4 linked regions of the Elephas maximus indicus genome follow. The protein of the gene in region 1 binds, or shares a complex with, the protein of each later gene. Links are inferred from orthologs where the notes say so. Each region holds a gene or a part of one and is shown in the gene's direction. Other genes may lie near its edges.

Region 1 (6,992 bases):
GAACATTTTCTTTATAACGGACATGCCTTTTAGACCTCCTGAGTGGGCAGCGAGAGTCTGGAGTTCAGGAGAGGTCTGGGTTGTAAATAAAAATTTGAGAAGCCTCAGCCCATGGGTGATATTTAGGCATGAACTTGGGGATCACCAAAGAAGTGAATATGGATAAAAAGATGAAGTCCAGGGCTAAAACTGGCACATGTGAACTGTCTTGACCAGCTTATACACAGTACAAACTGTTGTGGAATTTCCCAAAAGGGAAATTTTAAATGATTGGTTGTCATTCACTTAGCCGGTAGGAGGCAGTTTGACTTGCTTTATTAAGTATTCACGTATGCTATGGCCTAACGAATGAAACTGTCTTTATCACAAGTTTTTAGTTTCAGTGAATGGCTAAGAGTTAAGTTGAGACAGGTAGGGGGAGCATTTTCTTTAACAGAATGTTTAGAGGTCAGAGACAGGAAGAGAATCCAGTAAGACGATGAGCAGCCGGGGAACTAGGAAGGAAATGAGGACGGTCCGGCGTCTGGAAGCCAAGAAAAGAGTGTTTCAAGGGAGAGGAGTGACCAATGATGTCCAATGTCACTAATAAGTAGACTGAGGAACGGCCATCGGATTGAGAGTGTGGAGGTCAACATGGAGTGGCAGCAACTGAAACTGTGTTTACCGCATACGTAGTGTGCACAGACATTTCCTGACCGTTATCAGCCAGTGAAAAATCAATTTCAACAGTCTTCTGCTTGGTATCCTGTTCTTGTCTTAGCCCCTCCAATCCAAGGACACAGCCACCAGGGTGGTCTTTCTAGAATGCAGATATAGTCATTCCCCATTAACATCTTCAATGTAAGTCAGGCCGGGGTGAATACATGGAAACTCGCAAGTATACAGATGCTCACTCTTTGCAGTGTTGTAGTAGCAGGAAATTGGACACAACTTGAATGTCCAACAACAGGAAATTGGTTATGGCAGCTAAGGTGTTTCTAAATGAGGAAACATTATATGGCCATTAAAATACTAGAGAATATTTAATGACAAGCATTCAATTTATATTGCTGAGTGAACAAGCTGATCGCAGAACAGTATACGTGGTAAGAATCTATTTCGTGTCAAACAGATATAAGCACAATAATCTAAAACAGGTTGGCAAACATTTTTTTGTGTAAAGGGATGTGTGGTGGTGTTACAAGAGCTTGTTGTCGTGTTGCTGTTTTTGGTAAATGCTAGGTAGCTAACATTTTAGGCTTTGTGTGCCTTACTATCTCAAACGCAACTACTCAGTTGTAGCACAAAAGAAGTCAGAGGCAAAATGTAAACAAATGAGTGTGACTGAGTTCCAGTAAGACAATTTACGGACACTGAAATTTGAAATTCATGTAATTTTCACGTGTGACAAAATAGCCTTCACTTTTCCCCCCATTTAAAAACGTAAAAACTATTCTTAACTCCTGGTTTGTAGTGGATTGGATTTGTCATAGTTTGCCAACCCCTTGTCTAGTAGATATTCAACCAAAACGCTCACTGTGAGCAAGGTTACAGTACCCACTCCCCCACCCCCACCTCTTACTATGTCTGTTTTTTTTATTAAGTTTGCACACATTCTATAGGCTAGTTATGACTTACCTAATTATTTAAACTTTCCCCAAAACTGCCTTTATCACAAGTTTCCAGTTTCAGTGACGGTCTGAGAGTTAAGTTTAAATAGGCGGGGAGGGCAGCATTTTCTTTAACAGAATGTTTAGAGGTCACAGACAGGAACTTAACCCAATAAAGACGATGAGCAGCCAGGGAACTACGAAGGAAACGAGGAGAGTCTGGCGTTCTGGAAGCCAAGAAAAGAGTGTTTCAAGGGAGACAAGTGACCAATGATGTCCAATGTCATCTTTCCCCCCAAGTATACGCATGACTCACCCTCTTGTTCCTTTAAATCTCTGCTCAAATAATACACTCCAGCCAGGCCTCCCCTGCACATCGTATTTTAAATTGTAACCTGCCTACCTGTATCCTACCCATGTATCCTGCTCATTGATTTTGCTTCCCATAGCACGCTAAATTTGCTTTTCTAACTATGTGTATCATTTACTATCTATACCACTCTTTTCCCTCTCAGTCCCCAAGAAGGTAAGCTCCATGAGGGCAGGATCTTTATTTTGTTCACTGATGTATTCCAAGTTCCGAGAATAGTGCCTAGCACATGGCAGGGCTCACTTAGTATTTGCTGGATGTATAAAAGGATTGAAAAAAAAAAACAACAACACAACCGGCTGCTGTCAAATGAATTCTGACTCACAGTGACTCTACAGGACAAAGTAGAACTGCCCCATAGTTCCCAAGGAATGCCTGGTGGGTTCGAACAGCTGACCTTTTCGTTAGCACCCGTAGCACTTAACCACTATGCTACCACGGTTTCCATGAAAGGGTAATAGATGTATTATTTAAAAAATCAGAACCTAATAGACAAAATCAAAGCAAAATTTTACTTGTGTGTGATATTAATGATATTGTTCGATAATTTCCACCTTCTGTTTGATCACCATTCTTTGGAGTGGGCACAAATATGGATCTCTTCCAGTCAGGTGGCCAGGTAGCTGTCTTCCAAATTTCTTGGCATGTATGAGCGCGCACTTCCAGCACTGCATCCTTCTGTTAGAACATCTCAATTGGTATTCTGTCAATTCCTGGAGCCTTCGCCAATGCCTTCAGGCAGCCTGGACTACTTTTTTCAGTACCATCAGTTCTTGACCATTTGCTACCTTCTGAAATGGCTGAACATCAACCAATTCTTTTGGGTATAGTGACTCTGTATGCTTCTTCCAACTTTTTTGATGCTTCCTGCACCATTCAATATATTTCCCATAGAATCCTTCAATATTGCAACTCAAGGCTTGAATTCTTTCCTTCAGTTCTTTCAGCTTAAGAAATGCTGAGCATATTCTTCCCTTTTGATTTTCTAACTTGAGGTCTTTGCACACTTCATTATAATACTTTCCTTTGTCTTCTCCAGCCTCCCTTTAAAATCTTCTGTTCAGCTATTCATTTCTTCCATTTGCTTTAGCTGCTCTATGTTCAAGTTTCAGAGTCTCTTCTGACATCCATTTTGGTCTTCTTCCTTTCCTTTTTAATGACCTCTTGCTTTCTTCATGCTGCAAAAAGACCTCTTTAAAGTGTTAAAAAGATGCCAGTTTAAGGATTAAGGTGTGCCTGGCCCAAGCCGTAGTGGTTAAGTGCTACGGCTGCTAACCAAAGGGTCAGCAGTTCGAATCTGCCTAGGCGCTCCTTGGAAACTCTATGGGGCAGTTCTACCCTGTCCTATAGGGTCGCTATGAGTCACAGTCGACTCCAAGACACTGGGTAAGTATGACCCAAGCCATATTTTCAATCACCTCACAGGCATGCATAAAGCTGGACAATGAATAAGGAAGATCAAAGAAGAATTGATGCCTTTAAATTATGGTGTTCGTGAAGAATTAAACATACTATGGACTGCCAAAAAATAATGTCTTGATAGCACAGCGAAAATGATTCTTAGAAGGGAGGATAGCGAGGCTTCATTTCACATACTTTGGATGTGTTATCAGGAGGGACCAGTCCCTGAAGAAGGACACCATGCTTAGTAGACGGTCAGCAAAAGACAGGAAGACCCCGAGCAAGATGGACCGACACACTCGCTGCAACCATGGGTTCAAGCATATTAAACTTGGCCCGGTATTCGGGCCCTGCAGAGTTTGAGCCCCACCCACTCATCCAGCCTCCCAAAGTACGTATTATTCTGTCCTGCAGGCCCGCCCCGCCGCACCGACCCCGCCCCCCACCGAGCACGCGCAGTTCACTCTCCGCGACTTCTCCTGCTGCCACCAGGAGACGCCCGTGCACGGCCACAGGTAAAAGCTCAAAACACTCGTCCCACGTGACCCGCGCCTCATCCACATGACCAGCGTCGCACCCGGTGGGCGTCACGTGACGGACTCAGTTTTCCTCCAATCATTGGGCACGGGATGGAGAGGCCACCCAGGAGCCGGCCCGAGGCTTAGAAAGCCCCTTTCTCCAGCCAGCTGAACGGGCCGGCTCCCTGCTTCCAGCCGGGCGGTAGCATCCCTCAAGGATCTCGCTTCTCAGGTGGCTTCGCGGAGCCCGGGCCTGCAGCTCCCTCAGCCCCGGAAGTGACGCCGCCCAGAGGAGCCGGAAGTGGCAGTGGAGGGAGGGAAGATGGCGGAGGTGGTGAGTCCGGTGCCTGGGGCGGGGCGGAGGGAGCCAGGGGAGGTGGGTAGGGCCCGAGGCCCCCCAGTAGCCGACCCTGGCGCCGCGCTGTCTCCCCAGGGGGAGATAATCGAGGGCTGCCGCCTGCCCGTTCTGCGGCGGAACCAGGACAACGAGGATGAGTGGCGTGAGTGACGTCGGGAGGCGGGGCTAAACAACCTGAGGGCGAGGGGCGGGTCGGATCAACCGAACCCCCGGGAGGGGGAGGGGCCACTGGAATCTTGGGGCGGGCGGGGCGCAGGCACTCCGAAGGAGGGGCGTGGCGTGTAGCTGCTTGAGATGGACGGGGCGGGGCTTGGAGAAGGGGTGCCATTTGGAGACTAAAGGGGACTTGGGTGGGAGCTTCCAAGTGCTGGGACTAGGGGATCCGGGCTGGGGGTGGAGTTCAGGTCGTGGCAGGGTGGAGCTTCGTGGCCGGGCCCTCTAAGGCTCCTGCCTGTGCTATTCCCGCAGCCCTGGCCGAGATCCTCAGCGTGAAGGACATCAGTGGCCGGAAGCTTTTTTATGTTCACTACATTGACTGTGAGTTCTGGGACCGGGTGAGGTGGGGCTGCGGGTAGGGCTGGGGAGCAGCCTCTGGCATCCCTTCCTGAGCCATCCCCATTGCTGCAGTCAACAAACGTCTGGATGAATGGGTGACCCACGAGCGGCTGGACTTAAAGAAGATCCAGTTTCCCAAGAAAGAGGCCAAGACCCCCACCAAGAACGGGCTTCCTGGGTCCCGCCCCGGCTCTCCAGAGAGAGAGGTGGTGAGTAGGTCACCTGCTTCTCCTCTTCTCTCCTGCCTCCTACTGCTCTTGTCTCTTGGCCTCAGGGGCTCCTGGATGGGCAGGAGGCAGTAAGCCTCTCACCCTGGCTTCAGCCTGCAAAGGACGGGGCCACATTGCAGTCATAGCTTCCAGAATCCAGTGGCTATTTCTATGCCCTTGAGAGGGCAGAGGGTGGGGTTTGATCACTTGGTGCTGAGGGCCCCCTCCTCCCCTGCCCCATTCCACCACCATGGCAACCCAGAGGAAGACCCTGGACCTATTTCTACAGCCGGCCTCCGCCCAGGCCAGCGGGAAGACCTTGCCAATCCCGGTCCAGATCACACTCCGCTTCAACCTGCCCAAGGAGCGGGAGGCCATCCCCGGTGGCGAGCCCGACCAGCCGCTCTCCTCCAGCTCCTGCCTGCAGCCCAATCACCGCTCTACGGTACCCTCAGCAATTCCAGGGACCTTGCTTTACTCTCAGGTCCCACGTTCTCTACCTTCTGACCCACCTTTCTTGGTTTCTCTCTGCAGAAACGGAAGGTGGAGGTGGTTTCACCAGCAACTCCGGTGCCCAGCGAGACAGCCCCAGCCTCAGTTTTTCCCCAGGTGAGTACCCCAAACTATCCCTTTTTCCTTTTCTCTCTTTTATCGTTTGGTAGCCCTTTTAAGGTTATGTCACATTCGGCTCTTCTATTCCTACTGTTTCATTTGCAGAATGGATCAGCCCGTAGGGCAGTGGCCGCTCAGCCAGGACGGAAGCGGAAATCAAATTGTTTGGGCACTGATGAGGTGGGTCTGGGGAGCAGAGGAAGAGGAAAGCTAGGGGTAAGGGAGGGCATGTGGGCAGGGGGAGTTTAGTGCCTAGTTTAAAAAGAAACAAGGGAGGGCTAGGTGGCAGTGGTGTCTGATATCTGCAGCCAGGTGTAGAGCATGTTTCAGACCAGTCATTTGGTGATTTCAGGGTCTCAGTTTCTTCGTTTGGAAAGTGGGATTATAGTACTTTTTTATAGTGTTGCTGTGGAAGCTGTAGTGTCCTGCTTGAGTCATCTCTCGTAACCTGGTGTTTTCTACTGGCCCTGGGCAGGACTCCCAGGACAGCTCAGATGGAATTCCATCGGCACCACGCATGACTGGTAGCCTGGTGTCCGACCGGAGTCACGACGACATAGTCACCCGGATGAAAAACATCGAGTGCATTGAGCTGGGCCGGCACCGCCTCAAGCCGTGGTACTTCTCCCCGTACCCACAAGAGCTCACCACGTTGCCTGTCCTCTATCTCTGCGAGTTCTGCCTCAAGTATGGCCGGAGTCTCAAGTGTCTGCAGCGTCACTTGGTATGAGGGGCCCCAGGAGGCTGCTCTCCCAGCACCTCGTCCTGCCCCCACTCCTGCTTCTGACCCTCCTTTCTTCCCCAGACCAAGTGCGACCTGCGACACCCCCCAGGCAACGAGATTTACCGCAAGGGCACCATCTCCTTTTTTGAGATTGATGGCCGCAAGAATAAGGTCAGCAACTGAGGAGCAGTGGGGTGTCCTTGGAGCTGGTGGCCTGGGACACAGGAAGTTGAGCAGTTTCTTCCTGCTTAGGAAAACACTCACCAGTCTGGCCAACATGTTGGTTCAGCCCATTTTTATTGAGTACTAGTAGTGCTGGGATGTACTAGGATGACCAGAAACTAGACAGTCTCTGCTGAGACCCCGTGGCCCATGGGAAAGTCCTGCCAATGGCCTGTGACATCCCAGAGTGACAAGTGTCATGAGTCCAAGGGTGGGTTACCAGGACCCTAAGGAGGTAGTCCACAAAGCTTCACAGTGGTGATCTTTGACGTGAGAGGATTCTGAGCAGTGAGATGCTGAAAGGCAGGCCTGCTGTACAAGGATGGTGTGTGTGAAAAGCTGAAAGGCAGGGAAGATAGGAAGGTGCAAGGCTCTTAGAAGGGACAGAGTTTAGGTGGTGGAAACAAGGTCAGTAGGGGTAGCAGGGGCACCGC
Region 2 (7,077 bases), on another chromosome or scaffold:
CAGACGCCACATTTCAAAGTGGGATGCAGAATGTTTTCATAATAGAATTATTTTGAGTGGACATACATTTTTATTGTCTTTGAGTAAATACCTAAGAGCAGGCTTCCTAAGCCATATGTTAGTATATGTTTAATTTTGTATGAAACTGTCAAACTATTTTCCATAGTGGTTGTACTGTTCTTCACTCCTACGAGCAATGTGTGAGAGCTCCAGTTGCCCCTCATTCTTGCCAGCATTCGGTATTGTTAGTTAAAAAAACAACAACAAAAAAAGTAGCCTTTCTGACAGATACATAGTGGTATCTCATTTTGATTTTAATTTAGGGTATGTACTTTTTTATGGTTCATGCTGTATTTACCCTCCATAATGGTTACATTCCTCCAATGGTATGTTCACGAGTTGTCACTCTTCTTCCTTTTGAGACATAAACAAAGGACCCTACAAGTGGCATCACAAGTCTAGGCAAAAATTCAGTATTTTTCTCTCCCTCATGACCTATTAGCCATCACACAGAAATAAAGTTCACTTGTATCATGGTTAAATTTCTGTGCAATGAATCCCATCTTCTCATGGACTCTCAGTCTAAAGTGAGAGATATGTTCATTTGGGGGAAAATTTGGCTTAAAGGCGAGTAAAGTCTACATTAGTGACTGTAGCAAGTTCTTTAAAGACATATTAAAAGTAAACTCTGATGGTTGCACAACATGGAGAATGTAATTAATGTCACTGAATTGTACACATAAAAATGGTTGAAATGGCAACTGTTTTGTTACATATTTTTTACCACGATAAAAAAATTTAAAGTAAACTCATCATTTGATGAGAAAGTATAATATTAAAATAATGTATTCTAATATAAAGTATTGAATTGCTCTTTCTGCTTGGCAAAATAGCTGAAATTACTACGCAGGGAAAACCTTAATTAAATGGACCATTTTACACCTTCTATCAAACTTCAATATATTTCAACAGTTGAATGTAGGATTACATTCAACTCTGATTACTAAGACTTTGTTTTTGGCATTTTGTGCCAAAGTCATTGGCTAGATTGAGCTGAAGTTAAATAGAATAATAAATAGTTGTCTCAAAAGAAATTTAAAAAATTCCTTGAAACTTCCGATTAAACATGGGGAATTTAAAACACATATTTACCTCCATTTCTTCAACAAACGTTACTAAAACAGCTTTAAAAGAATAAACAAAACAATAAAAAAACTGAATCAATCCCTACACTTAGTGACCCTACAGGACAGAGTAGAACTGTCCCACAGGGTTTCCAAGGAGTGGCTGTTGGATTTGAACTGCCTGCCTTTTGGTTAGCAGCCATGCTCTTAACTAATACACCACCAGGGCTCCTTAAATGAATAAGAAGACCTAAATCCAAATGGACAAAGAGACTTAACCTTTCCCACATTATCTCCAGGATACTTTCCCATTCTGTCCATGTGGTCCAATACAAAAGCCTTACCATTTAACTGCAATAACCATCTCTTTCTTCAAACTCCTTGGCTTCCACAACTTTTTTTTTTAATTCACCTCTTTCTCAATAAAAGTTGGCAGTTCTTCTAAGATGCATCAATTGGTCTTAACCCACCTGGAGCAAAGGAGAATGAAGAACACAAAAGACACAAGGTAATTATTAGCCCAAGAGACAGAAAGGGCCACAAAAATCAGAGACTACATCAGCCTGAGACCAGAAGAACTAGATGGTCCCCAGCTACAACAGATGACTGCCCTGACAGGGAACACAACAGAGAACCCCTGAGGGAGCAGGAGAGCAGTGGGATGCAGATCTCAAATTCTCGTAAAAAGACCAGACTGAATGGTCTAAGACTAGAAGGACCCCGGAAGTCATGGTCCCCAGACCTTCCATTAGCCCAAGACTGGAACCATTCCCAAAGCCAACTCTTCATACAAGGATTGGCCTGGACTATAAGATAGAAAATGATACTGGTGAGAAGTGAGCTTCTTGGCTCAGTAGACACATAAGACTAAGTGGGCAGCTCCTGTCTGGAAGGGAGATGAGAAGGCAGAGGGGGACAGAAGCTGGCTGAATGGACAAGGGAATACAGGGTGGAGAGGAGTGTGCTGTCTCATTAGGGGGAGAGCAACTAGGAGTATATAGCCAGGTGTATATAAATTTTTGTATGAGAGACTGACTTGTAAACTTTCACTTAAAGCACACATACACACACACAAAAGTTGGCAGTTTGGATCCACCAGGAATTCCACTCCTTGGAAACCCTATGGGCGGTTGTACTCTGTCTTATAGGATTGCTATGAGTCAGAATGGACTTGATGGCAACCAGTTTGGGTTTTTTTGGTTTACATTTTGAATATAAATGTCTGCTTTGGTAGACAATACCTCCCCCCTCTTCTTCTTTTTTCTCAACCATGTTTTTGCTCTCCTTGGCCTGATAGTCTTTTTATTATATACATTCTCTGTGGAGATCTTAATTGTTCTCATGGTCTCAACTATCATTTGTATGTGGATGGCTCCTAAATATCAATCTCCTTCCGTGAAGTCTCTTTTGGATTCTGTTCCAGAACCAGAGAAGCTAAATAATTTGCAGAAAACAGGATAATGCAGTGGCAGGCGGGTCAGAACTCAGGACTGGTACTAAAATTTGCTTCCAGGTTTCTTTTAGGTCTTTTTTTCTTCCCTTGGTTTTTAACTCTTCCTTGAACTGTTCCGCAGTTCATTTTGGTTCAGTTTTCCTATCATTTTGGCTTCTTTTCGCCTGCATTAAAACAAACACAAAACTTAACTAACTCTTCAAATGGCCTCCAGAGATGTCATTTTATACCAAAAAGCCCTCCTTCTCTACTTCTTTAGAAGAGCCTCTGTTTTCACCTTCACGAAATTTCCTTTTTAGGGAATTCAAAGGAAACATTTGTCATTAAAAAGAAAACCACCATTTTGTTTTCCTCCTGAAGTATTTAACACACCAAATACCAAATATTTACATTTTAAATGTAAACCTATTTGAGGGAATGCCTGTCTCTGTGTGGGGAAAGACAGCCTGTGGTAGAGTGGTGAGGAACCTGTGTATGGAAAGCCAAAGGTCTCTAACCTGAGAGACTGGAAAAATTGCAAATAAAAACCCAGCTCTGGGAGGCCTGGGGGTAATTCATCACTTCCGCCCTCCCTCCCCAAATCATCTGGAACTTCTTTGGGTGTTTATCCTGAAAAGGGTGTAAGCGAATGAGAAGGACAGAATTGAAGCAAGAACTAAGAAAAATTAGACCCTTAAGAAAAAAACAATTGTTATCCCACTCTTTTATATTCCGCATTAAAAGTACACTTTACCTACAGATTTCCGTGGAAACCAACTAAAGGGAATTAGGAGAAGCATTGCAGAGCCATTTCTGTGCGAAACGATGTTCGATTTTTATTAGGCCAGCTTTCTTTCACTTCCAAGGTCCCAGTGTTTATTAAAGCAACAATTAACCTCAGTAACAATTCTCCAAGGTAGTTTTATTCACCCAACTGCTTTCAAAATCAGACAGTCCCTCATGATGGAATTTAAAATACCATCTATATCCTGGTTCTGCACCACGGAACATCAGTCTCTGTGGGAAGCCTGTTCCCGGCAGGGCAGTGCCACGAAGGCATGCTTTTAATGTGATGTGCACGTTGGTGTGTGCACTTTGGCAGCAAAGCAGGGCCTGTGTTTTAAAACGGCCAAGAGCCGGTGCGTGTGTGGTGAATTATCGGTGTCGTAGCTTGGGATAGGATGCTTTCTCCCTCCCTTTTACACTAAAAACAGAAAAGCAAAAAAACAAATCCAACAGGCATCAAAACCGTCCCAGCGCCTGGGGAAAGCGCGCCAACCACACAAAGAAAAGGGGGGGGCTATTGGGATTCAAAACCATTTTTCTGGGATGGACACTCTCCTGGGCCTATCGGAGTTAACTGCGCGCTTGGTCGTATCCAATAGACACAGAGTTTCTGGTCCAGGTCCGCCCTGAAGACTGATAGACAATTACGTAGCCCAACGGAATAGTGTGATGCTGAAGAAGCAACCAATACGTTCGGGAGGTGGGTGGAGTGTAGGCTAGGGGGTTGGCGGTGCCGTGTCATGGAGGCTCAGTCTCCGAGCAGCCATTGAAGGGGAAGGAACTGCGGGTGTGTGAGTGTGTGTGTGCGTGTGTGTGCGCGCGCGCGCGAGTGTGTGGACAAGGAGGTGGGGGCAGCCGAGTTAGAGTCCCAACTCCTTGGACTCCATTTGCTATTCTCTTCCCCCCCCCCCACACCTATCTGGTGGCGGTGGGCGTTATATTTGCGTTTCTTTTCATTCATTTTCAAACCTTTTTAAATTTTAGGGTTGGGGGTGGTGGGGAAAGGCAGGAAAGGGGAAGGCAGGAGACTAGTGGCAGAAGAGGAGGTGGAGGACATGGAGATGAAGAAGAGGATTAACCTGGAGTTAAGGAACAAAGCCCCGGAGGAGGTGAGATGACTCAGCCCCCTCCCCTTCCCCACCAACCCCATATTCGGAGGGTCGAATTTCTAGGGGTCCGAGTGGGTGTGTAGGGAGAGGTAGGAAATTAACCCCCATCTGGGGTTAGGGCTGGAGGAAATGTTTAATTTTAAGTTTTAAATCATTAAAATCTTCTTTCTTAAAATGGCGAAGGGTTTAAGTTTCTAGGGGCCTTTTTGTGTGTGTGTAGGGGCTTAGCCCCTTTCGACTCTCGGTGAGCTGGGCTTCCTGCCCTCGTGGGGGCAGGGAAGCGAGGTGGTGGGGGCCCCTCTGCCCGGTCGCTCCCCGCCTTCCTCTTCTTGGAGGCAGGCGGCGTGGGCGCGACCCCCCGGTCCACTCGCCCCTGCCGCAGGCGCCGCCGCCTGAGAAGTTAGTCCAACTTTCCTGCAGTGCTGCCAACTCGTTTGGGGTCGAGGGCGGAGGGGTCAAGAGACCCTCGCCCCGACCTCGAGGCCGGTTGGCGCCTGACTTCGCGCTGGTCGAGGGCTGGGGTCGCTCGCAGGGTCCGCGGACCGCCAGCTCCTGGCGGCGCCCATTCCCCCGGGATGGGGCGCGCGGCGGCCGCCGGCTGGAGGAATCTGGGTCAGCCGCGGGCTAGTCGGACCGCGGGTAAGTTTGGGGACTCGTCGCAGTGACCGGAGGTGGGGAGGGGTCGTGAGGAAGAATCCCCTTCTTCCCTCCAAAGGAGAGGAGGACACCCCCGGCTTTTACACCGCGATGTAACGACATTCGGTGTCTAGTGGCGTAGTGGCCGCAACTCTGAATTTGATCCGCGGAGATGGGTTCACAAAACTCAACAAATGGGTCGTAGTAGTTTTGTGCCTTAAAGATGGGCACGACGAAACTCAGAGATGCGCTCTAGTTACTGTCGCCTTAGTTAAAGAGACGGGCTTGGGAGGGGCCACGTGAGGCGGGGTCGTCAGCTATCGGGGGGCGGGCGGGAGGTGTTCCCGCCTCCTTTGCGAAGGCGCCCCTCGGCCTCACCCAGCGCTCCCAGCCCCCGGCGGAGGCGCGAGGGGAACGCGGCCCGGCAAACCACCCCTTTCCCTGGGGCGTCCACGCACCATGTAGGGTTCCCAGTCGGCCCGAGCGCGCGCGGGGACTGTGGCCCGCGAGGAGCCTCGGACTTAAGGTTTCAAGGGAAAGTGTTAATTGCCTTGCTGGTGCGCAGCGCCTGAAATACTGTTAGCCCTAGAATTGGAATATGCGAGATATGTATTTTTAACGGGTGAGGTGGTGCCTGTGCACCGTAGAAGATGAGTAGGATTCTGGCCGGTGGGCTGCTGCGTGCAGAGTGGGACACAAGATATTTATGTACTTTTTTTTTTCTTTCCCTGAAATTGGTAGGGTGCGGGGAGGAGGAAATAGTTGCTGCTATCAGGGTCATCCCAGAGAAAACTTGAAGTTTTCTAGGATCTACTCTTCAGGGGCTTCAGGGAAAAGCAAAATCAAACTTGAATGCAGTCTTTCAAAAGCACACATTTAGAATACTTTTTTATGTCTTGAGTTGGAGAAATGGATTTGCCTCCCACCTCCCATTTTTTTACGTAGTAATTTCTTTGCAGCATTGCCCGTTTTGGGGATTTGGAGGAGAGAGTGCCTTTTTGCAAATTCTCCTTCCTCCGCCGTGATATAATAACAGTCTCTTACGTTTGTAAAGCTCTTTACAGTTTACAAAGCACTTTTCATTTTATTTACTTCACTCTTTCCGATAAACTTGTAAGGTGGATTGTATTGTTCTAGAATCCAAATTAGCAAAAAAAAAAAAAAAAGTCTTAGAGCAGTGAAGTGATTTACTTAAGTGGTAGAACTGGTTTCTGACACCAAATCTAGCAACCCTTCCACCACTCAGCTAGACTGGGAGTAAGAAGACTTAGGGTTGAGGCACAGCTCTGCCACATACTAATTGTGTGACCCTGGGCAAATCATCCATAGCCTCTGGCTCTTGGTTTCTCCATCTCTAGGGGAGAGATGATGCTTTCTCTGCTCACTGAAATAATTACGTCAAAGTCATATTCAGATGGGGAAGGTGGCATTCCGTGTTGCTAATTTTTAGCCCTCAAAATACTTAAAACATATTTTTGCTGTTGGGAAATAGAGCAGGGTCTCCTGCCTCCTTAAGATTCAGTCCTTTTAGGCCCATACCAGGAAGTTTTGTTGCTATAACAGTAACCTAATGGGGGATCAAGCCCTCCTCTCCCCTCCAAGAATAGAGAAAAGTCCACAAAAATGCTACCAGGATGGCAGGGAGAAATAACATTTTGTCAAGGATGTAATATTCTGGGTGATACTGTTTGGCCTCATTATTAGAACAAATAACACCGAAAAGCTAGGCTGTTCCAGAAAGGTAACAAGGTTGTTTTTTTTTTTTTGAGTTTGATGGCATTTATCAATGAAAGATGAGGGAGTTGAAAACTGAAAAAAATGAATAAAACTATTTCCTGTCTTCTCCTTGCTAACTTTTAGGACAACTTACTGGAATCCTTTCCCAATAGCCCAGGTGTCCCTTCACTGCATAAATACGGGCCCTGCTGTTGAGGATCATTCTCAAACACCATTAGGGTCAAAAACAGCTTTTACCATGGGTCCTTTTTCA
Region 3 (7,438 bases), on another chromosome or scaffold:
GTAGACTGCAATCTGAAGAGAGAGGGGGAGGATAGGGAGAAAGAAATGAATAAAAACCTGGAGGCAAGAAGAGACTCGATGAATTTTGAAGACAGTGATGAGACTTACCAGGTCAAAGCGAAGGGACTGTCTGGGACAATAATGACAAAGATGTCGGTTTGGGAGAAAGTTTGGGAGAGTGAGGCAAAATTATGTGAGGCCTTAACAACCACACCAAAGGATTTTACATTTTATTTAATGAGCAAAACAAAGAGAAATTATACGTCTATGACTTGAGAAAGGAGGATACAGAGTGGAAGTAGAAATTTTGGTACCCGGATTTGGTGGCAGGCATTCTGCTGTAAAACCCCAAGGGCACAGTGTGTTTGCTCATATCCCCAGAACCCACAGCCTCTACCAGTCACTACTGGTTACCACTAGTCATAGTTGCCTACAAACAAACACTTTAAGAAAGGTTTATTGAAGGAATGAATGAATGAAATAGGAATTGGATTGGAGGTTGTTTCTAGGTGTGAAGTGATGAGAGCATGGTCTGTGTTTAAGACAGTGGGCATGGAAATACGTAGAGTCAAATCCTAGAACCATTTTCAAAGAAAAAATAATAGGATTTAGGGGATGGATATAACCTACTGGGCATAAATTAATATTTAGAGCCATATTTTAGGTTTATTATATACAGCAGCAGCGTACTTGCATTTGACACATTGTAAGTTTTTTTTTTTTTTTTTAACAGAAATTTGGTATTTGAAACAAATCACATTTCAAGGGTGAGGCTATTATAAGTAATTATTATCACCATAAAAACTTACGTTTCTTTACTGTCTACTCATATTCCCTCCACCCAACTTCTTAGCAGTTTTACCTCATACCTGGAGAGTTGTCCTTGTCACCCACTGAATGCTGGCCAGAGTAAACCTTCACATCCTCAAACCTACCTGGCAGTTGCCTCCTCCCACTCTCTTGTTCATACAGTTTCTTCCTCCCACGAATACCCTTTCTTCTACCACTTCATTCCCATGTCCAGCTGCCATCCTTCAAAACCAAATCGTATGTCACCTTGTCTGTGAAGTCTAATGAACCCAGCTGGAACCAACAGCTCCCTTTTCTGAACCCCTACAGCACTGCATTTGGTTATCTAGGTATCTCTTTACTAGTATCTTATTTGTATTTCCGAAACGATAGCACTGTGTGTTGCTTAGTTATTCAATAAATATTTGTGGCATGAAATAAAGCTATTTTTAAATACTGCAGATCCCTTCCCAACCAAACAAGAGTTTCCCTTTGAGGAAATATTAGTTCAGTTTTGCAGTAATATACTTTTTTCTTTTTGCAATGTTTAGAATTTCACATCACTTTTGTTTGGTACATTTAGAAAAAGGTAACTTACAGGTTAGGAATAGAAAAGAAAGTTCAAGTGTAAGAAATTGTTCCGTGGGATACAGGAAACAAACAAACAAAAAACTCAACTAAACCCTTTGTTGTCGAGTTGATTTGGACTCATGGTGATCCCATGTGTGCAGAGTAGAACTACATTCTGTAGGGTTTTCAAGGCTGTGATTTTTCAGAAGCAGATGGACAGGCCTTTCTTTTGAGGCACTCTGGGTGGGTTCGAATTACCAACCTTTCTGTTAGTCCAGTGCTTGCTTAACTGTTTGCACTACCCAGGGAGTCCCAGGATAAAGGAAGCTGAAGAAAATTAAACCTGGGCCTTCATTGCTGCACTCCTCTTCCTTAGGAGAGAGGGAAGTGAACTGAACTCATGAGGTCCTTGGGACTCCAGCCTTTGTCTCCTTGGGAACCCAGTAGAATCTGGGAGTTAAAAATCCAGGGCATTGAGAAACTGGATGGAGAACCGATACAAAAACAGGTATCTCTTAGCAGGTGTATTATCTGCAAGGAGAAAAAAAGGAGAAAAAAAGGCAGCTGAAATTGTAAGCGTATCTCTGAACCTTTGTGCAGGGCAAATCTAGACTTTCTAGAGAATAAGGAACTTAGATAATTATTTTAATGAAAGTAAAAGAAATTATTCATTTCCTTGGCTTGCTCATGACTTAAGATCCTATTTTGTTCTATAAAGTCTTCCAATTGTGACTTCTACTATTAGGATTTTAAGCTGGAGAGGAATATTATACTAATTTCAGCCAGTATTTTCTGAGTCGTTAAACCTCGCATCTTGGAAACCCTCTGCGGGCAGTTCTGCTCTGTCCTATACAGTCTCTATGAGGCGGGAACCGACTGGACTGCACACAACAACATTCCATTCCCAGTGCTGGTGGCAATTCTTGAGGTTCCCAGACTTTGACATGCTCTTGTGACCCTGAGCCTTTACAGATGCTGCTTCCCTTGCCTAAGATACCTTTCTTCTCCTCATTTTTTCTTTTTTGGCAAGGTTAACGCATACTTATCCTAAAATTTTTCTCAGATATTATCTTCTCCAAAAGCCTTCCCTGAATGCTTTCATTGGAGCCACTCCCCATGATTTGGGTGCCACTGCAGCCTGTTCCCATGATGGCCTCGGCTTTCCTCATAACATTTACCACATAGTGTGGCAATTGTCATTCACAGGTCTTTCTCCCCCACTGTGCAGGCTCTTACTGGAGCCCTGTGAGTGCCAAGCAATCAGCAGCATACTTGGGAGGCAGTAAGCGCTCCCTAAATACTCACTGAGTGAATGCAGTCTTGGTTTAAGAAATGCAGGTGAAAGTCCTGCCTCACAGGGTGAGTTGTTACTATTGTAATTTTAGAATAATTTTGGAGAACTGCAATCTATGTCTCTCCTTGTCTTCTCCCCACTTCATGGAGTGTAGCTAAAGCAACCTGGAAAATAGCAGTGTGCCTATGTGCCCTAAGCTAATAACAGTTCATTCCAACCCAGCATTTAAGAACACTGATTATTTTTACTATGTGGCCTCCAGGGGAAAAGCAGATTTAAAAAAACACTTTTGTATTTTGGCTAACACTTGAAACTTTGTTGCCAAACGTATCAAATCCACCCCAGCAATCTTTTTTGATTTTAACAACATTCCACTGGAAAGAGGTCTCTGGATACTGGTTTTTGCCATGTGGTGTAATAAAAACCAAATGTCAGCCATCTATCACAGCCATCTACATTTCTTCTAATAATTCAGTTATTCCTATTTGGGGGGGGGGGGACAGGGCAGAAACACTACAAGTCTTTATATGATTCGATTTTATAAACTTTTTCAGAGAACAAATGATAAGAATAAGTGTGAGCCCATGGCTATGTTGAAGCAGCATTATCTTTCGGCACAGAAAACTGGGAGCTGAATATAAAGAATACGCAAAAGTCCACTGCCGTCGAATCGATTTCACACTCATAGCAACCCTATTAGGACAGAGTACAACTGCCCTATAGGGTTTCCAAGGCTGTAAATCTTTGGGGAAGCAGACTGCCACATCTTTCTCCTGCAGAGCAGCTGGTGGGTTCCAAGCCTTGACGGTCAGGTTCGCAGCCGAGCGCTTTAACCACTGCACCACCAAGGCTCCCTATATAGACTTGAAAAGTTTGAAGATCTCGCTTAAAATTTTTCCTGGAGATTAGTGTCCAATAACCATTCCGTTTGCTCTAATTACGACAAAAAAGTTAATATGCAGGATTAAAAAAAAGAAAAAAAACCCACTTGGGACAAGTGTAGGATGCTTACCGTTTTTATGAGCCCAGTGGGTGGGAAACTGACCAATGATTTTATGGGGAGCCTATCAAATAATATAACCCAAAGTTTCATTAGACGTAAAAATAATTGCTAGTACACGTTCATCCAAAGTAACTTTTTGCTCCTAATTTCGTGTGCATTTTTGTTTTAAAGACATAAAAGGCTGGGATAATTAAGATATGCATTCACCCACCCAGCTTAGCATCGGTGCGCATCACTTCTGAAACGCCTTTCAAGCCCCACCGAAAGTGGCTTGGGCATAGCCCTGGGCATCGCCCAGCCCTCGCGCCGGCCGTCGTCGGGGAAAGCGCCCGGGCTGCTGCGATGACAGGTGCCCGAGCCCCCGGACCCCGCGCGGGCGCAGCCCCGGAGGGAGCAGGGCAAAAACAGCCACACGCATTTCTCTCCCCGTTGCCCTTCGAAAAGCCGGGGAGCGGGCGGACACCGGTTTTCCGCACCTTCACCCCTCAGGAAGCAGCGATAGGAGGGCGCGGGCGCGAGACAGCGTGTGCGCGAAAGGGGGCTGAGCAGCGAGAAGTCGGCTCGGACACCTGAGCGTCCCGACGTCCGGCTGTCCCGGCGCGCGGCGGCCCTGTCCGCCTCCCGGGCCGCGGAGGGCGGGGGCCGCGAGCAGCGAGCGCGGGGAGCGAGGCCGGCGGGAGCCGGGGGTTGGCGGGACGCGCGCTCCGTGCCGGCGCCCGGTCTCGAGCCCGCGCCCCCCCCCGCGTGCCCGCGCCGCTGCGCGATGCAGTGTGGGGAATGGCTGGGGTTGGCTGAAGAGCGCACAGTGGAGTTTTAATGTCCGCCATGTTGGCCATGGCGTATTGAAGAGAGCGAGAGAGAGAGGAGCGGAGCGGCACAGACTCCCACCCTCCCGGCTGCTGTTAGTGCCCGGACGGCGGGCTCTGCGCTCCGCCCCTCAAGTCCCCGGCAGCGGTAGGCGAGTGGGGACCGAACCCCCGGTTCTCCATGATCCCGCTGGCCGGGGCCGTTTCCCCAGAGCGGAGAGGTATCTGCTGCGCCTGAGATGAGTAAACTGTCGTTTCGGGCGCGGGCGCTAGACGCCTCGAAGCCGCTGCCGGTTTTCCGCTGTGAGGATCTGCCCGACCTGCACGAATACGCCTCGATAAACCGGGCCGTGCCGCAGATGCCCACCGGAATGGAGAAGGAAGAGGAGTCGGTACGTGTTAACTCCCCTGTCCGACCCACCGCCAGGCCCCGCTCCCTCTGCTGCCTGCGGCGGCGACGGAGCACCATAATCACACAAAATGGCCGCCATCTTCTCCTCCCCGCCGACACTCAGTCGCCGGCCGGGCCCTTACCCCGCCTCCCCCGGCCTCGACCCCCGGCCGCCGCGGCCCGCTAGGGCCTCCTCTAAGGCTAGCCGCCGACACTGGCCACTCGTACCCAGGTCCCGCGGAGTCCGGGGGACCCGAAAGGCACAAAGGGGTCACGTGACGAAGCTGCCGGCAGCCATTTTGTGGTCTTTAGTTCTTGGGTTGGGCCCTTCGCATCCGGAGAGGGGAACGGGTTGGGTGGCGGTGGGGTGCGGCGAGCTGGGAGCCGGGCAGGACCTGCCTGCAGGCCTCTTGGCGGGCCGCTGGGTGGCGCTCTGGGGTCGCCTCGGCCTCGCGCCGCTGCCGCCGCCGGGGCGCGCAGGGCCTGCCACCGCGGGGCGTTTGGTGCCTTCAGCGCTCGTGGGGCTCAGGCCGCGCGTCCGCCAGCGGGGGCCTCGGAAGTGCCGGTGCTGTTGACAGCAGGTCGGTCTGTCGCGGGTATTGCACATCGGCCGCGACGACTTACTTTCCTGGGAGGTTTGACCGACTTGCAGTATTCCCTTTCTGGGACTTTCGCATCCGTCCCTCTCCAGTACCAGTTAGTCGGAGGGGTGATAAACTGCTCCCCCTGACTTTTTCTTTGATCTTTCAGAGTATGTTGCCGATTTGCTTGGGGTACGTGGCTCTTCGAAAGGCTGTAACTTTGTTATTTTTTCTGTAACATGTAAGTTTGCCTGCGTTCTGGTCTCAGCCTAAGGGGAGAAAAGACCCGATTTAAAGTAAATGTCATAGATGTGGATTTCGAAAGAGGGTCATTTCTCATCCATAACTGAGCTGAAAATTAAATCACTTTGTTCACAGACGTCTTAACATAAGGCGATTGAAATGTCTGAAGTGGGTGGGTTTCAGTATTTAAATGACTGTTTACAGCTAATAGACATTTTGCCATATATGTGGCTTTACCGTGTTATGGAAGTTGAGTTCAGACGCAAGGATAATAGAATGTCCCTCTCATTTCCCCCAGATCCTTGACAGTGTAACTTGATGACTTCTAATCCTAAGGAATTGCATACCTTGGTTTTCAGCCATTTAAACAGGGCGCAGTGTATTGACAGTTCAAGGAAGTCAAGGAGTCGCGGATTTGTCTGCTGCAAATTTGTTGTGGAAAATTGTAATGCTTTCATTTGGTACTGTAAGAATTTTAAATGTAGTAATTATGCTCTGTAATGTTTTTGAAAATAAAACTGTTTAAACCATTTGGGTTGTTTAACCTTTTAAAGTAAAATAGTTGTGGCAGTTAAATGTTACTTTTGGGTAGTGTCTTAAATCTAACTTTAAAGATAAGCTAAGCGCTAAGTGTATGTAGTAGTTGAGATTGTCTAGTGCAGTACTGACTTTCAGCACCTTATCTATGAGACAGTACCTCTTTTTTTTTTTTTTTTTGGCTTGTATCAACTTTAGAGTAGAATGGTGCCATTTGTTTATTTTTAAATAAGTGATTTGTTTTTAAAAATTAAAGTACTTGTGACTGCAGAATCTTGTCTTGGTTTTTTGTTTCTAAGTTTTACAGATAATATTTTCAAGATGGGGTGTTGGTGTTACATGGTCTTTGAAATTAATTTCTAGTTTTTGTTTTGCAGCCAAGGGCAGACCCTTGATTAAAGCTGGGTAGCACTACAGTACACTTTAGAAGTTTAGTTTTGTTTCTGGGAATACTTTGAGCAGTCCCAAGAGCTACAATCTAAAATCAGAGCCAAGTTTAACTGAAGCATCAGTGCTTCTTAAATTTACAGGTAATTTTTGCTCACTGAAATAATTTCCACATTTTATAGTGCACTAGATATCATTCCCTGGTGGTGTAGTGATTAAGAGCTTGGTTGTTAACTAAAAGGGCAGCAGTTCAGATCCACCAACTGCTTCTTGGAAACCCTACGGACAGTTCTACTCTGTGTCATATAGGGCCTCTGTGAGTCGGAACCGACTCAACGGCACATAACTGCAACAACAAGACATTTTTTCCATAACACTATCCTTTTCATCATCTGTTTAGAATTTGTTCCACTTTACATCCAACTGAAGCTGTATGACCAGAGAAGCACGTTGTTGTTAGATGCCGTCAAGTTGGTTCCGACCTATAGTGACAGAATGTATAACAAACACTGCCTGGTTCTGCGCCATCCTCACAGTTGTTGGCATGTTTGAACCCATTGTTGCAGCCACTGTGTCAGCCCATCTCATTGAGGATTTTCCTCTTTTTCACTCACCCTCTACCGAGAATGGTGTCCTTCTCCGGAGACTAATCGATCTCTCCTGATAACGTGTCCAAAGTACATGAGACCAAGTGTTGCCATCCTCGATTCTAAGGAGCATTCTGGCTGTACTTCTTCCAAGACAGATTTACTCATTCTCCTGGCAGTCCATGGTATAGTCACTCCTCTTCATCATCAGAATTCAGATGCATCAGTCGTTTATCTTTCTTATTCATTG
Region 4 (7,954 bases), on another chromosome or scaffold:
ACAAAAGGAGAGAAGAGCTAGAAAAGAACAGATACCCCTAAAAGGATAAAGCTTCCTCGTGACTATTCTCATCTTTTGTTCTATCTGCCTTGGGCTAGCAAACCAGTCTGATCCAGACAAATTTGCTGAACTGGTTTTATGAAATCCCTTTGGAATGAGGCAGGTATAAACAGATAAACAAAAAAATCCTTAGTAAAGAAATACCATTTTGCTTAGCCTTAAAGTATTAGGTTTTGTTTTTGACTTTTAAGTTGACCAAACATTCTTTTTAAAATCATCTAATAAGCTAGTCAGAACCAAATGAGAGAATATATATATCGAATTAACCTTTAGAATGGACATTTCTCTCCTACCCACAGCCATGCGACGTGTGTTAGTTATCTAGTGCGGCTATAACAGAAATTTATTTCTTCACAATTTAAGAGGCTAGAAGTCTGAATTCAGGGCACCGGCTCTAGGGGAAGGTTGTCTCTCTCTCTGTTGGCTCGGGGAAGATATTTGTCTCAGCTTCCATAAGCCCCGTGTTCCTAGGTTCCTTGGAGATCCTCGCATGTGTTTCTGTCATCCCCACTTTATGCTTGCTTGCTTCTGTGTCTAACCTGCTCTTTATATACCTCAAAACTCATTAGGTTTAAGACAAGCCCTACACTGATATGGTCTCATGAACATAACAAAGAAAACCCTATTCCCAAATGGGATTACATCCAGAGGTATAGGGGTTAGGATTCCCACACATATTTGGGGTTGGGGGACACAATTCAATCCGTAACAGGACACTGGCATTCCTCCCCACCCTCCAGAACAGATCAACACTGCCTTCCAGACCTTGGAAGGCTCTCTAGGCAAGACAAGCAAGGCCAGCAGATACTGATGGGCAGGCTGCACACTACACAAGGGTGTCCAACTGAGAGAGCACAAGTTGGGGCAGAAATTCATCCTTTGGTGAAGACTGCAACATCGCAGAGAAAGAAAAGCATTTTTTAAAGTATTTCACTGGAGTGGATACCTTTTTGCAATTTATCTGGAGCCAGGAGGCAGGCACATGGTTCTAACTAGCACAAAGGTATTGTATGAGCTAATGGTGGCCTTGAAGATAAACACAGGGTGCTTGGAGCCATTGAGTGTCCTGTGAAGGCTGAGACCATAAATAGCTCTGTCTGGCCTTGGGCCTTGGAGCCAAACAAACATTAACCAAAGCTATCTTTCCTTTCCAGTTGAAAGGGACTGTGAAGACAGTTGTTCAGCTGTAAATTCAAAAGGAAGAAGAGTAAGTTCTATCTTCCGAGGATCTACTAAGAATCGGGAATCTGCTGAAGCTTTTTCCTACAAGTAAGTGGAGGGTGCCGGATTGTATTCACTTTTGAGAGGGTAACATGGCATAATGGGGAAAGCATGGGCTTTGGAGTCAGATGAAGGAGCCCTGGTTGCCCAGTGGTTAAGCACTCAGCCACCCGCTCTGCAGGAGGAAGATGTGGCAGTCTGCTTTGGTAAAGATTGTAGCCTTGGAAACCCTATGGGGCAGTTCTACTCTGTTCTATAGGGTTGCTATAAGTTGAAATTGACTTTATGGCACTGGGTGGGTAGGTTTAAAGTCAGACAGAGAAATCTGAATCTTTGTCATTTACTATCTGAGCAACTTCAGGTAAGTATTTAACTTCTCTGGGCTTCAGTTAGGATTCACTAAGATAACAGATATCAAGAGCTGAGCCTAGTGCTGCCTGGCACGTAGGAGGCATTCAGTTCCCATGCCCTTCTCTGCTACCACCCTGACTCCAAAGTTAACTCATGTCATTCACACTCTTGGCCTTGAAACTTCTCCCAGTAAAGCATAAAGATGGGTCTGCTAGACAGACCTACTGGAGCAAGAGTCAGGAGATGTGGGCCCTGGTGCCAGACACATCCTGTTATAGTACTTTGGGGAAGTTACTCCTCTCAGCTGACCACCTTAATAAAACAGAACACCCCTAACACCTCCGAAAGAAAAAAGCAGAGGAAATCACTTTTCTTGGGCACTTGCCATGAGGAGTGCACTGTGCTAGGCCCTTTTGTTGTTGAGGAAACCCTTGTGGCACAGTGGTTAAGTGCTATGGCTGCTAACCAAAAGGTCGGCAGTTCAAATCCACCAGGCGCTCCTTGGAAACCCTGTGGGGCAGTTCTACTCTGTCCTATAGGGTCGCTATGAGTCGGAATTGACTCGACAGCAATGGGTTTTGGTTTTTGTTGTTGTCGTTAGCTGCTGCCCAGTCATTTTCAACTCATAATGACCCCATGTGACAGAGTAGAACTGACTCATAAGGTTTCCTAGGCTGTCACTATGAATTGGAATCAACTAGACAGCAACCCGTTTGTTTTTTTTTTATCTTTACCAGACCAGATCGCTAAGTCTTTTCTCCTGTGGAGCTGCTGGGTCGGTTCATACCGCCAACCTTTCGGTTAGCAGCTGAGCACTTAACTGTGACCCCACCAGGTCTCCTTAGTCCCTTTTACATACTTTATATTCTCTAAATCAGTGCTATCCAATAGAACTTTCTATGATGGTGGGAATGTTGTATATCTGCACTGTCTAATACAGCCATTGGCTACTGTGACTGAGGAACTAAAGTTTTTAGCTAATTCATGTAAATTTAAGTAGCCACATGTAGCTAGCGGCTACAACACTGGATAGTACAGCTCCCTGGGGGACATAAACATTTAAGCGCTTGACTTCTATCCAAAAGGTTGGCTGTTCAAACCCACTCAGAGATGCCTTGGAAGACAGGCCTGGAGATCTGCTTCCGAAAGATCACAGCCTTGAAAACCCTACGCAGCAGTTCTAGTCTGCACACATGGGGTCGCCATGAGTCGGAATTGACTCGACAACAACAACAAAGATTATGAAGCACGAATATTTTTTACCATTTAATCTATGGTAAAACTGAGACTCAGAAAAGTTAAAGAACTTGTTGAAAGTCACTTAAGTATTAAGTAATTAAACCAGATTCAAAACGTAGGAGTAGAAAGCTTAGTAGGGTAATAAGGTTAGATATACCTAGTATTATCTAGGTTCCACCATTTACAAATTGTATGACTGAGTAAAAAAATATCTGGAACTCACTGTCATCATCTATAAAATGATGACAGACCTCTTGTTGAAATTAATGGGTATAGATCTATATAGTGGGGTCCATACTAGGCTTTCGAGAACTTTTATTCCCTCAGCACTATGATTCCTCCCTTACACATGGAAGAGATTCAGACATAAACTAAAAAAGAAACAACTTCAGGGTAGACAGAGCATTTGGGAAATACAAAAGCAAGAAGGGAAACACTCATGAGCTTTTATGTGATATCCAATTATAGAATGGAGATGGAGAAGGGTATAAAATCATCAAAATATCTCCATTTAATTGATCTGCTTCCCTGCCCTTCCTTGTCTCTCTAGTTAACATTAGCCAAAGTAAGGAAGAGAGAAAGTATTTGTAATGTGTTTTGAGGCCCAGAGACAAGCTATAAATTGAACAATAATGTTAAGGGCTAGGATTGAGAGGCAGATACAGTTCAAATCCTGGTTCCCATATCTGTTTGTGCACTTGGGGAAATAATTTGACACCTCCTGACGGCACTGGGTTTTTTTTTTTACACATTAGTTCCTAATCCAGAGTGTCTCAATAAGCATAAAAAAATTAATTGTTTATTATCTTGCGTTAAATTCTGTAGCACCCTCTAGTGGTATGTGCAAAATAAGCATTGCATTTCTGCCCTCCAAAGCGCTGGTTCTCAAATTTTAGTGTGCATCTGAATAACCTGGACAGCTTCTAATAATACAGATTGCCAGGCCCCACCCCAAGAATTTTTGATTCTGTAGGTTTGAAGTGAGGAGGCCTGGTGGCTCAGTGGTTGAGTGATTGGCTGCTAACCAAAAGGTCGGTGGTTTGAACCCACCAGCAGTTCTGCGGTAGAAAAGACCTGGCTATCTGCTCCTGTAAAGATTTCAGCCTGGTAAACGCTATGGGGGCAGTTCTGTCTTAAAGGTTCTCTATGGGTCAGAATCGACTCAACGGCAGACAACAGGGCTGAGTGGGGCCTGACAATCCGAATTTCTAACAACTTCCCAGGTGATGCTAAAGCTGCTAGTTCAGGAAACATACTTTGAGAACCACTGCTCTAAACGACCCCGGACCGACATACACACATAATGTATATATGATTGATAACTCAAAGAGGAATGATTTTTGTTGTTGGATTTTGATTTTGTAGTACCCACCTAAAAGGGATTTTATGAGGAATAAATGAGAATATCCATGTGAGGTCAACACCGCATCTAAAATATAGAAAGCATGCAAAAAACTGAGAATCACAGAACATAAATCATTTGCCCAGAGTCACAGGGCTATAAAGTGGTGACATAGAGATTAAAAGGTCTCTGGCTCCAAAGACATAATAAAGTTTAGCAGTACCACTGCACATACACACGTGTGATAAAATTGTCATGAGAAAAGATCAGTTTTCAATGCCAGATCCAAGTTTTACCTCAGAGTTTTTAATCTATCTTTACGGACTAAACAGCCCTCTGTGTACTGTTTTGGGGGGTTGTTAACATTTGAGAAGAAGGTGAACAGAAAGGGTAGAATCTTCATCAGCATCAGTGCCTAGTATCATTCATCACTTCCCTAAAAAAAGAAGGCATGGAAGAAAGAAGACAGAGGAATGAGGAAGGAAAAAAAAATTTTAAGGGATGAGGTAAGAAGGAAAGAAACAAGAAAAGCATTTGGATCTTGGGCCATGGTCCCCTGCCTATTAGGGCCATTTACAGAGGTTGGCTTCATTTTCCCCCTAGAAACGAAAGAAAGATATACTCACTGGAGATTGGAGAGTTCAGCAAATCAGAAACACGGGAGGACAAAATCCCATAATTCCAGGGACCAAATAGCCAATCCTTTGCTAGGATTTGGCGACATCTAGTGGCCGACTTGAGAGGTATAAACCTCATCCAGAGAACTTTCTGGAAAATTAATTGTGTGTGTACTCGCTTGAAGGGCACTGTGCTTGGTGGTCAGGACAAAAAGGTAAGAGTTCCTCAGCCGCCACAGAAATTTACGGTCCTTCGTGAAGGGAGAGGCAGTCGTATATTGATTATCCCAGCAGAAAATTATATTTGTACTAGGGGAATTGCGTGCAACTTTGGGGACGAGCGGGGCTAGGGGGCGGGCAGGGAGAAAGGGGTGGGAATGGGAGAGAGGGGCAGGGAGCAGGGAGCTGTCCTGAGAAGGGGGGAAAAGGGACGGGGGACACAATGGAGAGGGGGAAAGGGCGCGAAGGGGGGGAAGGGAGAGAAGAGTCGAGGGATGGGCGGGAGGCGGGGGAAGGTAGGGGGAAGGGCGGGCGGGGATGGGAGGAGGATATTGGGGAATATGAAAGGAGCTGCCCCTTGGAGTTGCTAATAGAGGAACGGGAGGGTTTGGCTCTTGTGCAATGGGGAGATGTGATTTAGAGCAGGATTTTGGCACCGAGCAAAACGTGGAAGGGTCTAAAATTGAGTCAATAGGAGAAACCAAAATACTTCATATAACAGAGGCCCTTTGTTATTATCCGCTTGACTTATTTTCCTTTTTTTTAGAACAATTTTCAAACATACAAAAGTAGAGAACAATTGCTATAATAAACACCCACACACTTATTACCTAAATTTAACATAGTGCAGCTCACCTATAGGTAAACACACACACACTCACACCAACCCCACTCAGGGACACACACCGTGCCCCAAAGCTAAGGGCGCAGGCTGGCGCACACCCCCAGGCCACGCGAGCTCGCCTGCGCGCGCGCGCACACACACAGGCCCCAACGACACGCGCCCGAGCCACCCGCCGCCTCCACTCACACGCATATTAAAAACACCCCCGCCTCCCCCCCCCGAGTTGCGCAAGAGGTTGGGGGGCGTGGCCCCAGGTTTGACCTCGCGCTTCCCCACCGGCGGGAACCTTAGCTCATTTCCGCCGTCCCGTTTCCGCAGGCCACGTAGACACTTCCTTTCCCAGTGTGGCGGGGGGGACCCATAATGCCTCTCTAAAGAAAAAAAAAAAACCTTCTGGTCAAGGGAACTCTGGGTCGTGAAAATAGGCCACGTGAACACTGTGCTCTATAGACTTATGACCCAAAGGCTGTCGCGCTTTTGGAGGGTGGGCTAAGAACCTAAGAGGGCGAATGTGATTGGCTGCAGCTCACAGTAAAGAAGGAAGGTGATTGGTTTGCTCCGAGCCTTAACCGTGAAGAAGCAGGTTACTAGCACCCGCCTTTACTGCGGCTAAGTGTCACTGCTTACGTGGTAGTCCTCGTCCAATCATTTGGTTATAGAACATTCTAAAACTTAGACAAGACGAATGTGATTGGCTGAAGGGCATAAGCCCGCCTTTAGGATGACGTGTCTGCCTATGGATATCAGTTGCCAGAGAAACCTGGCTTTACTATGGCGGTTGGAGGAACGGCAGTGATCACACGTCGGCTGTTGGGAAGAGCTGGATTCTCGTTTCAGGTTTCGGGGTGGGGGTGGGGAGGAAGGGTTGGTGATTTCCCTTTATCCTGTGTATGTATAAGGTATATATATACACATATACAGACAGAATCAGCTACTGGCTTTACAATCGGTCAGAGCTGGTTCAAATTCCTGCTCGCCAACGCCCAGCTCGGGCAAGGCTCCGATTCTTTCTGTATCTCGGTTTCCATGTTTGTAAAATGGTGATAATAATAGTATCTACCTCAGAGACGTGTACGAGGGTTAAGTATGATAGTGCGTATAAGGCGCTCAATACGAAGCCTGGCTCTTGTAGATATTATTATTACTATGGAGATAAAGCCTCACATAACAGAATGAGAAAATATGTATTATGTAAATTCGCTCATTATAGTGCCTTCCCTGCCCATCAACTTCCCTCGAAGAAATTAGAGATGTAAGAGGCGTAATTGTTATCGATGAAACAATACGCCGAGATTTGCTTCGGAATAGGATTGAAATTTTCCAAATTGAAAAGTAAAAAAAAAAAAAGATTGAAAACGAGAGCGAGCTGGAGATCAACCACATGCGATGAGTAGGCCTTGTTTGGTTTCTGATTTGAACACAACTGTAAAACGTTGTTTAAGATACATAGGGAAAATTTGATCACCGACTCGATGTTTTATGGCTTTTAAGAAATTTATATCATTTTTTAGGCGTTATAATGATACTGTGGTTATGGTTTTAAATTTTCTACCTTGTAGCGATATCGACTAAAATATTCACAGATTAAATAATATAATGTCTGGGATTGGCTTCGAAATACGTTGACGACTAGGATTTGCTTCAAAATAATTTCTGCGAAGGGGAGAGCGGAGAGGGCTGTAGATAAAACAAAATTGGCCTGAAGTTAAAAATCGTTTAAGCTGACTGTTATTACTCTGTCTATCTTAGTGTATGTTTGAAATGTTCCATAATGAAATATAAAAAATCAGCTATTTGGTGCTTAAAAAATTGGAGGGGGGGCAGTGGGTGGGGTTATAGATGAAACAAGATGGCCTTCAGTTGGTAATTGAAGCTGGGTGATAGATTCGTGTGGGTTGGTGATACTATTCTATCTAAATTTTTGTCCATTTGATTTTTTTTCCTTCATAAAATGGTTTTTAAATATTAGTTTGTTTAAAAAATAGGTTAAATGTACATGATTTGAAAATATAACCACAAGAAAGAAAAAAATATTTGTGCATATTTATCAGCTTTGGTGTTCTTTGTGTGTGATAAAATGCATTGATTGATGGAAAAGAAAACCGTGGTCTGATATCTTTTTATTTTATGTCCTTTCCTGTCCCCTTCTTTGACCTTCTAGGTCATCATCAGAAAAGCTAAGTTAGTTGCACAGTAAGGATCAGAAGATCTGATCCTGATTACAGAACCATCCCTCATTACAGAATCTTGGGTAAGTGCTTCCCTTCTCCTGGCCTCAGT

Evidence for each region.
Region 2: KAT5 (region 1) and ANP32E share a complex: the UniProt entries of both Homo sapiens proteins name them as parts of the SWR1-like complex. The link is inferred for Elephas maximus indicus from reciprocal best matches to the Homo sapiens genes KAT5 and ANP32E.
Region 3: KAT5 (region 1) and EPC1 share a complex: the UniProt entries of both Homo sapiens proteins name them as parts of the nuA4 histone acetyltransferase complex. The link is inferred for Elephas maximus indicus from reciprocal best matches to the Homo sapiens genes KAT5 and EPC1.
Region 4: KAT5 (region 1) and MORF4L2 share a complex: the UniProt entries of both Homo sapiens proteins name them as parts of the nuA4 histone acetyltransferase complex. The link is inferred for Elephas maximus indicus from reciprocal best matches to the Homo sapiens genes KAT5 and MORF4L2.

The regions. Positions count from the first base shown.
Region 1 is NC_064825.1:128,857,944-128,864,935, forward strand, and holds the start of KAT5 (histone acetyltransferase KAT5), read left to right. Parts: upstream 1-3,971; 5' UTR 3,972-4,200; coding exon 4,201-4,378; intron 4,379-4,704; coding exon 4,705-4,773; intron 4,774-4,863; coding exon 4,864-5,000; intron 5,001-5,289; coding exon 5,290-5,445; intron 5,446-5,534; coding exon 5,535-5,609; intron 5,610-5,717; coding exon 5,718-5,792; intron 5,793-6,087; coding exon 6,088-6,336; intron 6,337-6,417; coding exon 6,418-6,507; intron 6,508-6,992. UniProt on the Homo sapiens protein: Catalytic subunit of the NuA4 histone acetyltransferase complex, a multiprotein complex involved in transcriptional activation of select genes principally by acetylation of nucleosomal histones H2A and H4.
Region 2 is NC_064821.1:184,387,917-184,394,993, reverse strand, and holds the start of ANP32E (acidic leucine-rich nuclear phosphoprotein 32 family member E), read left to right. Parts: upstream 1-4,073; 5' UTR 4,074-4,397; coding exon 4,398-4,451; intron 4,452-4,600; exon of another isoform or gene 4,601-5,090; intron 5,091-7,077. UniProt on the Homo sapiens protein: Histone chaperone that specifically mediates the genome-wide removal of histone H2A.Z/H2AZ1 from the nucleosome: removes H2A.Z/H2AZ1 from its normal sites of deposition, especially from enhancer and insulator regions.
Region 3 is NC_064822.1:5,673,077-5,680,514, reverse strand, and holds the start of EPC1 (enhancer of polycomb homolog 1), read left to right. Parts: upstream 1-4,492; 5' UTR 4,493-4,701; coding exon 4,702-4,854; intron 4,855-7,438. Other genes in the region: translation initiation factor IF-2-like, read right to left, coding at 4,142-4,492. UniProt on the Homo sapiens protein: Component of the NuA4 histone acetyltransferase (HAT) complex, a multiprotein complex involved in transcriptional activation of select genes principally by acetylation of nucleosomal histones H4 and H2A.
Region 4 is NC_064846.1:54,508,345-54,516,298, forward strand, and holds the start of MORF4L2 (mortality factor 4-like protein 2), read left to right. Parts: upstream 1-4,954; 5' UTR 4,955-5,045; intron 5,046-5,935; exon of another isoform or gene 5,936-6,129; intron 6,130-6,346; exon of another isoform or gene 6,347-6,511; intron 6,512-7,835; 5' UTR 7,836-7,925; intron 7,926-7,954. UniProt on the Homo sapiens protein: Component of the NuA4 histone acetyltransferase complex which is involved in transcriptional activation of select genes principally by acetylation of nucleosomal histone H4 and H2A.